Linked DNA regions of Sus scrofa. The protein of the gene in region 1 purifies or fractionates together with the protein of each later gene. This does not show direct contact. Links are inferred from orthologs where the notes say so. Each region holds a gene or a part of one and is shown on either strand. Other genes may lie near its edges. The genes, in order: FBXL15 and CUL1.

Region 1 (4,323 bases):
CCCTCACTCAGGGGGGAGAGAATTCAGGCCTCCTGGAAGAAGAGGGAGTGTATATAGGGACATGAGGGGCTGAGAGGCACAGGTGAAAGAGAGAAGAAAGGCCTGATATATATGTGCTGAATGGGAAAGAGACATTCTTGTTCTCCATACAGGTGCCCACACGCACACACACGTAAAGACAAAATAATGTCAGTACACAGTTAAACACATTCATAGGCAACACCCTCCAGCACACACAGACACAAGCACACACATTGCTCAAAGACACACCCTCATATACTCTCACAGTCATAACAAATATGTGTGTAATGGAAAGGCACATGCTTGTTTTACACACACAGTGTCATCAAAGAAGAACACACAAAGAGATACCCAAATATACACACAAGCCCTCCTTCTCCAAGGCACACAGAGACACATGCATATCAGATACTCACAGAGAGCTACTGGGCACAATCACACAGAAATATAGATGCACACTCATATATTTAAGCAGGGACATAGACCCTCTCCCCTAACCCCAACAGTCACCAGTCTATGGAGGGGAAGGCTGCCTCAGACCCTTCTCCCTTTCTCTCCCCCTCACTCCCCCCGGTCCCCGGGGTCGGAATGACAGATTTTGTCCAGACCAGGAGGGACGGTAAAGGGGTAAAGGGGCCTCTGGCGTCAATGCAGGGTAGGGGCAGAGGTCAGGAGCAGCAACTCTGTCAGGCAGGTTCCTGAAGCTCAATCAGGCCCCAGCGCGCCCCCCAGTGCAGCCTTGGACGAGCCGCGTTGTACTCACCGCTGCTCGCCTGGAGCTGGGGCCGAGGAGAGGCAGGGGAGAGGCTGGGCCCAGCCTAGCTGTGAAGGCAGCACGGCTCCTGCTTGCTCCTGCTTGCTCCAGGCCCGCCCGCCTCTCAGTCCCTCCTCCTACCCCCTACGCGCGGCTCAGGCAGAGCTAATCCCCCCACCCACCCACCCACCCGCCGCCCTCTCCCCGGGGGCCCTGAGCCCTGAGCCCCGGAGACTGTCCTCCTTCACGATGCTAGATCTCCGCTGGGCTCTCCCGCCAACCTGAGACCCGCCCCTGACGAGGGGGAGGTGGTATGGAACCTCCGGTTTCTTCTCCAGATCCTCACATGCCCAACCCCAATGGTGTCCACATCTCTCTTGTCCACCACCCCCTGAACAGCACGCAGACCCAGCTGCACACGCGTGTCCCGCTCAAGACCCCATTGCGTGTCCCTAGGAGGTTGCCACATGACCTGTTACATGCCACACGCGCTCCCGCCCCCACGGGCACGCGGCCGCGCCAGCACACCGTACGATGTAGACTGGACCCGCCCCCTAAATCCAGAAGACCATCAACTTATGGAAGAAAGATCTAGGGAACACCGCCTCAAAACCTCCGAAGGTTCTGAGTCTAGGACCCAGGAGACAACCTGACCACTCGCCCGGGATGCAGCAGGAAGGACGTTAGTCAGACTTCAGAAAGAACTTCCTTGCTGCCTGAGTTAGGCATCCCGCCCGTGTAGGGGTAAGAGATTAGAAGGAATGACGCCTGGACTAGAGGAAGTGAGAAACAACCCTTGTGCCCTTGGCCAAGGTAGAAGCGGCCCAGCTATTTTAAGAAAGCACCGCCAGAGTTACTATAGCAACTGCTCTCCTTGCGAACTCCAAGACAGACAGGTGGTGATCCTGGAAGGAAAAAAGGGGTCTGTTCGGGCGGTCAAGGGGCGCGAGAACGTGCGAGGCGGGGGCGCGCGGGGCTCACCGCGGGGAGGGGAGGCGCGGGCTCCGCGTGGTGCTGAAGGGGACAGCGCCCGATTTGTCGCACTGCGCAGGCGCAGGAGCGCTAACAAAGCGGGGAGGGGAAGGAGGCGCGCGGCCCTAGGTGGTGCGCGCTCACTTGACTCAATCTTAGCAAAGATTTGTTCCTTCAGCCACCCTTCCCCAGGCAGTCGGAGGAAAACAGAGCGAGTCCTTTACCTAAGCTGACCCTCCTTTGTCCTTTCCCTTTGCTGTTTACTCTCTTCTCGCAGCATGTGGATGGGCGGGGTGGGGGAGGGTAGAGGAGTGTGAAAGGGATTCGGGGAAAACCAGGATGCCAGAATTCTCTCTCTCGACTCTCTTGGCCCCGGACAAGGCGCTTCCTCTCCAGGACCTCGATTTCATCTTTAAAGTGGAATGATAGAACAGACCTGCCCACCTTGCACAGGCGCCCAAAGTCCTTATGAGATAATGGATGGGAAGCAGTTTTCGTTATAAAGGGACAGGTGGGAGTTCCCGTCGTGGCGCAGTGGTTAACGAATCCGACTAGGAACCATGAGGTTGCGGGTTCGGTCCCTGCCCTTGCTCAGTGGGTTAACGATCCGGCATTGCCGTGAGCTGTGGTGTAGGTTGCAGAGGCGGCTCGGATCCCGCGTTGATCCCGCGTTGCTGTGGCTCTGGCGTAGACTGGCAGCTACAGCTCCATTTAGACCCCTAGCCTAGGAACCTCCATATGCCGCGGGAGCGGCCCAAGAAATGGCAAAAAGACCCCAAAAAAAAAAAAAAAAGGGACAGGTGAAGGGCTGCGCGAAGGGAGAGGGCAATCCTGCTGGGGGCAGGGGTGGGAGAACTCTGAGAGAGAGTAGTATCCCTCGGCGTCCTTCACACCCTCCCCTCAAATGGATGATGGGGAAAGCACTGGTCCAGGAATTCCCTGGAGCGGACCCTGGAACTAGAATCTGGGGACTCGGTGAGAGTGCGGCCCGGAGATTGAGCCCAGAGCTCTGGGGCGGTCACTGCCCCAAGGCGGGTCCAGCCTCAGATCCTACAACTAAGAGGAGCAGCATTCCTGGCGGGCTGAACTGAGCATTCGTTCTCAGGACTCTAGACCTCTTGAGTAAAGGAAAGAGACCTAGCTGGAGATATAGTCCCTATAGCCCTTCTTGCCTCCTACATCTCTCTCCCCAAGGTGTAAACCCATTCCAAATCTTTCAGGAGTGGAAGGGGCTGGATAGCTCTGTACTTCAGAATTAGCCAGGATGGGAGGTTTGGGCAAGTTTGCTTGATGAAAGAAGGAAAATTCTAGCTTTGCTCATTCAACTCACTGGACATTCACTACATGCCAGAGACAGGATAGTTTCTTTCCGTTTTTCAAACTCACTAAAGGCGACCAGAGGGCAGAGAATGTAGGGCCCAGAACCTTGGAGTCCTGGCCCCGCCCCTTCTACGTTTGGCTCTGCCTGCTCCTCCCATCACTTTACTTAGAGGCGGCCACTGGCCCAAAACAAAAAAAGAAGCCAGCTCTGCTGCACCATCGCGTGCTTCAGCCTCGGGTCTCAAGCCCTGTAGCGGATAAGGCGAGGTCTAACGTTACACCACCAGTCTGTTCCGCCTTCAGTTTCGGGATCCATCCGGAACGCTTTCAAACAGGATCCTCAGTGAGCCGGCACTCGATTGAATCGGTCTGTCTCTACAGCCCAAGGAGGCGGGTTCGCTGCGGCCTCTCCAAGGCCAAAGCAAGAAGACCTTGCTGCGCACGCGCAGTAGACAGCCGATGGAGCCACCGATGGAGCCGTCCGGAGGGGAGCAAGAGCCCGGAGCCGTCAGGTACCGAGCACCGGAGGGGCCGAGAGAAGGAAGAAGGACCTGGGGGAGGGGAGCTGAACCAAGGCCGGGTCTGGGGATCACCTTTAGGAGCCAGGGCTCAGAAGCATAACGGAGGCGGATTCACAGGTAACAGCGGCCCGGGGACGCCGCCGCCAACGCCCCTTTACCCGCAGGCTCCTGGACCTGCCCTGGGAAGATGTGCTGCTCCCACACGTCCTCAGCCGGGTGCCGCTGCGCCAGCTGCTCCGACTACAGCGCGTCAGCCGGGCTTTCCGGGCGCTAGTGCAGCTGCACCTGGCCGGGCTGCGCCGTTTCGACGCCGCTCAGGTGAGGAGCCAGAGCCCCGCCCCTTCTGGGTACCGCCTCCGCCCCGCCTCCAGCCCAGCCCCCAACCCCCTGCCCCTACCCCTGAACCCCCGCCCCCAGCCCCGCTGCCTTCCGTTCTGGACCCCCCTTGGGCCTCCGGGAATGCCCAGGAAGAGATCCACCTAGCGAGGAGGGCAAGTACTGGGAATCAGCTTAGAGGGCGCGTAGGGTCTCTATTGGGAGGGTAGGTGGCAAGCCCGAGGGAGACCTGCTGCCGTGGAAGAACTCAGGGGCGGATAGGCTGCGCCAGCCCACGAGACCATCTGAAAGTCGAGATGCCTCCCCGCCCGCAGGTGGGTCCGCAGATCCCCCGGGCCGCATTGGCCTGGCTGCTGCGGGATGCCGAGGGGCTGCAGGAGCTGGCGCTGGCGCCGTGTC
Region 2 (3,810 bases), on another chromosome or scaffold:
ATCTTATTTCTCAACTGATATTTCCCTAATCACTGTATGTGTATTGATCACTAGAGGCACCATAATCTGATTCTCTGCGTTGTGTTTTTTGAAGTTCTCAATAATTTTTGTGTGGGTTTTGGTTTGCCCCAGCTTCTCTTTCACTGAACTAGCTTTCAGTTTAGAAATGCTCCAGGCTTATTTTAGTGATCCAGATATCACATCAACACATGTTGCAGTAGTTTTCCATGCCCCCAGTTAGAGGGGTTTGATATTAAAAAATTTTAAGGAGCTCTCTAAGGCTCATATAATCCCATTATGAAAAAGACTGAGAATAACTACACTACCAAGAGAAAGACTACAAACAAGTCTCACTTAGAAATAGAGATGTGGGGAATCTTAAGTAAAATATTAGCAAACTAAATTTATCAGTGAACCAAAGAATAATTGTTCAGAATGTAGGACAGCTTTCTAGGAATGAATGCAAGGATGGCTCAGTAGTAGCAGATGGAATATAATTGACTTTAACAACAGAGCTATATGAACAACAATGTGGTCTTCTTGATTGACATGGGAAAATATTTAATAAGGTTAATAGCCATCTCCTTTTTTATTTTTTTTTAAGAGCTGCACCCACGGCATCTGGAAGTTCCCAGGCTGAGGGCCGAATCAGAGCTACAGCTGCTGGCCTACACCACAGCCACAGCAATGTGGGATCTGAGCCGAGTCTGTGACCTACACCACAGCTCACGGCAATGCTGGGTTCTTAACCCGCTGAGTGAGGCCAGGGATCAAACCCGCATCCTCATGGGTCGTAGTCAGGTTGATTCACCACTGAGCCACTGAGTACTCCAATAGCCATCTCTTTTAACTTTGTCAGGAAGCCATTTGCCCAAGGCCTGGTGCAAATTGAGTATTTGATTTTTTTCCTCCCTATTGCAGTGCTTATCTAATGTATAATTTAGCAGTTCTAGTCAGATTCTCTAATGTATTCATTTCAGGAGTGAAAATGGACTTTAAATTGGAATGCCTCTTGTGACCTTTTATTTTTTAGGCTCAGTAAAATGAAAATTTTCAATATTTTAAATGTGTAGATACTCTTGTAGGGCTTCAGTTTGTTTGACTTTTTGTCTTTTCATAAATGGTCCTCATCAAGTCTCCTGGTGTATATTATTCTTTAGTTAAGGCTGCTAAAGCAGGCAGAATGGTGGATAGTTCTGAGTGCTGTTTTAACAAGTGTATGTTAGTGATTGGACTCCAGGGACACTTAAGTTAAACTCTTCCAGGAAAGAGACACAGGCCTGACCTATCAGTGAGAAGAATGGGCTTCCTGAGCCAAGTATTTCCCCCCTCCGCCCAGGGCTGTACCCACAGCATATGGAAAGTTCCTAGGCTAGGGGCTGAATTGAAGCTGTGGCTGCCAGCCTATACCACAGCTATAGAAACTTAGGATCCAAGCTGCTTCTACAACCTATGCTGTAGCTTGCAACATTGCCAGATCCTTAACCCACTGAGCAAGGCCAAGGATTAAACCCACAATCCTCACGGATACTAGTCTGGTTCTTAACCCATTGAACCACAACCGGAATTCCTGAGCCAACTATTCTTAAGTAGGATCACGTCTTTAGAGCTTGTTTGCTGGTTGGATCATTTTATATGGATTTTATAGGGGTCTTGTTTATTAAGGTCTCTTGGAGTAAAAGCTTTAAATTTTTACCCTGCAATCACCTTTCAGTTAATATTTATTCATAGACTAGAGTGAATCAAGCAGTTGTAAAAGGACAACCATCTATTTTGTGGACGTAATGACATGTAAGGCAACACTTTAGAGGTAGTTTACAAACTCTTTTATCTTTAATTACTAGGCCATTAAAAGGCCTTTTATTTTTTCAAAGTTAAGTTAAAGCGTATTATATAGAAAGCAATTAGAAAAGTAAAAGGCATGTTTAAATGGATTATCTTAAAGGAAAACTTGATTCAGAATGTTTGGGGAAGCTTTTAATAAGTATCATCTATTGAGATCCATTGTGGATATTCTACATTATTCTGTGGAAGAACAGATTATGAAAGAGAGATAAAGTGTAGGACAGCCTAAACCTTCCCTCTTCCCCGTGCTAATCTGAGAACTAACCACTTGAATGTTCAGAACCACACTCTAATGTGGTTTGGTTGAGTGGTGCTTGTTTGATAAATGTTTCCTGATTTATTTTAAAACACTATACCTTTTAAAATTTTTCAGTTCCAAGAACCCAGAAGAAGCAGAGCTAGAAGACACACTCAATCAAGTGGTAAGAAGCTCCAGGGTCACGTCAATGTGCAAGTAGCCTTTTCTCTGACAAGTGGCTTTTCAGTTATTTAAATGAGGCATATGGAATATGGAAAGTAGTAGAAGCATTCGTTTTATTTTGAATCTATGATTTTACTCCCTATATTAAGTCCTTAATTTTGGCATTTGTACTTTCCTTATTTGTATTCAGTCTAGACTTCACGTAATTTTAGGGATTGATGAAAATACCTGCCTTAAAGATAATGGGGCAGTATTGTAAGCGTGGCATACAGGGCTGGACAAAACGGAGCACACATGTTTGTTTCTGGCCTGGGTTTGGTGACAGTGTCTTTGTAAGTGTGTTAAGTGTGCTCTGGTGTGGCTTTTCTAGATGGTGGTCTTCAAGTACATAGAGGACAAAGATGTGTTCCAGAAGTTCTATGCAAAGATGCTGGCCAAGAGGCTTGTCCATCAGAATAGCGCCAGCGATGATGCTGAAGCAAGCATGATCTCTAAGTTAAAGGTAAATGTAATGTTTTCCGGAAAAATGCCAGTTTTAAGTCACTAAAGTTCTGGGTTGTCAGTTGGGCAGAGTAGACAATGGATGACATGGATTCTGTGCCGTGAGAACTCCGCCCTCCACCACAAGGACCCCACCGCCAGTGTTGTGACAAGCCCAGGTCAGGCCTCACATGCTCTGCCAACCCTTCCCCTGCTGCATAGAGCCCCTCCTGCTCCAGCTGAGCCTGGCACATCGTCCAAGTGTCTTCTCCGAGCTCCTGCACCCGTGACCTCAGCTCTGTCTCCACTCCCCAAGAATTGCTGCAAGTGGTGAAGCCCAGACTCAGCTTTTTGTTGGCCTTGGGTGGGTCTGCGGGAGGACAGAACACTTTAAGTGTTAGTTTGCTGTTGCATATTTCTTCATTCGGCCGCATTTGTGTCAGTGCTTCCTGGCCTGCCAGGTGCTATTATGTGACCTGGACCATATTTCACTTTGACCTGAATTTTTTTTTTTTTTGATGATTTTTATTTTTTCAATCATAGCTGGTGACCTGAAATTATAGTTACGTGGTTGTCTTTACCAGCTTGGGCTGCCATACCAAAATACCATAGGCTTGAGTGGCTTAACAAGAGAATTGATTTTGTTTTTGTCTTTTTGCTATTTCTTGGGCCGCTCCCTCGGCATATGGAGTTTCCCAGGCTAGGGGTTGAATCGGAGCTGTAGCCACCAGCCTACGCCAGAGCCACAGCAACGCGGGATCCGAGCCGCGTCTGCAACCTACACCACAGCTCACGGCAACGCCGGATCGTCAACCCACTGAGCAGGGGCAGGGACTGAACCCGCAACCTCATGGTTCCTAGTGGGATTCGTTAACCGCTGCGCCACGACGGGAACTCCTTAACAAGAGAATTGAATAGAGTCCTGGAGGCTGCTGGGAAGTCCAGGATCCAGGTACCAGGCAGTTCAGTGTCTGGTGAGGACACTCTTCCCAGTCCAATCCTGGAGGCCCAGCCTCATGACCTTTTCTGAACTTAATTGTCTCCCTGTGGCCCCACCTCCAAAT

What was found.
Region 2: the proteins of FBXL15 (region 1) and CUL1 purify together in Homo sapiens (affinity purification with mass spectrometry; 9 studies listed by BioGRID and IntAct, counting the BioPlex papers as one, with this or other methods). This does not show direct contact. The link is inferred for Sus scrofa from reciprocal best matches to the Homo sapiens genes FBXL15 and CUL1.

What each region holds. Positions count from the first base shown.
Region 1 is NC_010456.5:113,428,783-113,433,105, forward strand, and holds the start of FBXL15 (F-box/LRR-repeat protein 15), read left to right. Parts: upstream 1-1,386; 5' UTR 1,387-1,536; coding exon 1,537-1,671; intron 1,672-3,448; coding exon 3,449-3,579; intron 3,580-3,752; coding exon 3,753-3,906; intron 3,907-4,238; coding exon 4,239-4,323. UniProt on the Homo sapiens protein: Substrate recognition component of a SCF (SKP1-CUL1-F-box protein) E3 ubiquitin-protein ligase complex which mediates the ubiquitination and subsequent proteasomal degradation of SMURF1, thereby acting as a positive regulator of the BMP signaling pathway.
Region 2 is NC_010451.4:109,468,307-109,472,116, reverse strand, and holds part of CUL1 (cullin-1), read left to right. Parts: intron 1-2,218; coding exon 2,219-2,267; intron 2,268-2,636; coding exon 2,637-2,768; intron 2,769-3,810. UniProt on the Homo sapiens protein: Core component of multiple cullin-RING-based SCF (SKP1-CUL1-F-box protein) E3 ubiquitin-protein ligase complexes, which mediate the ubiquitination of proteins involved in cell cycle progression, signal transduction and transcription.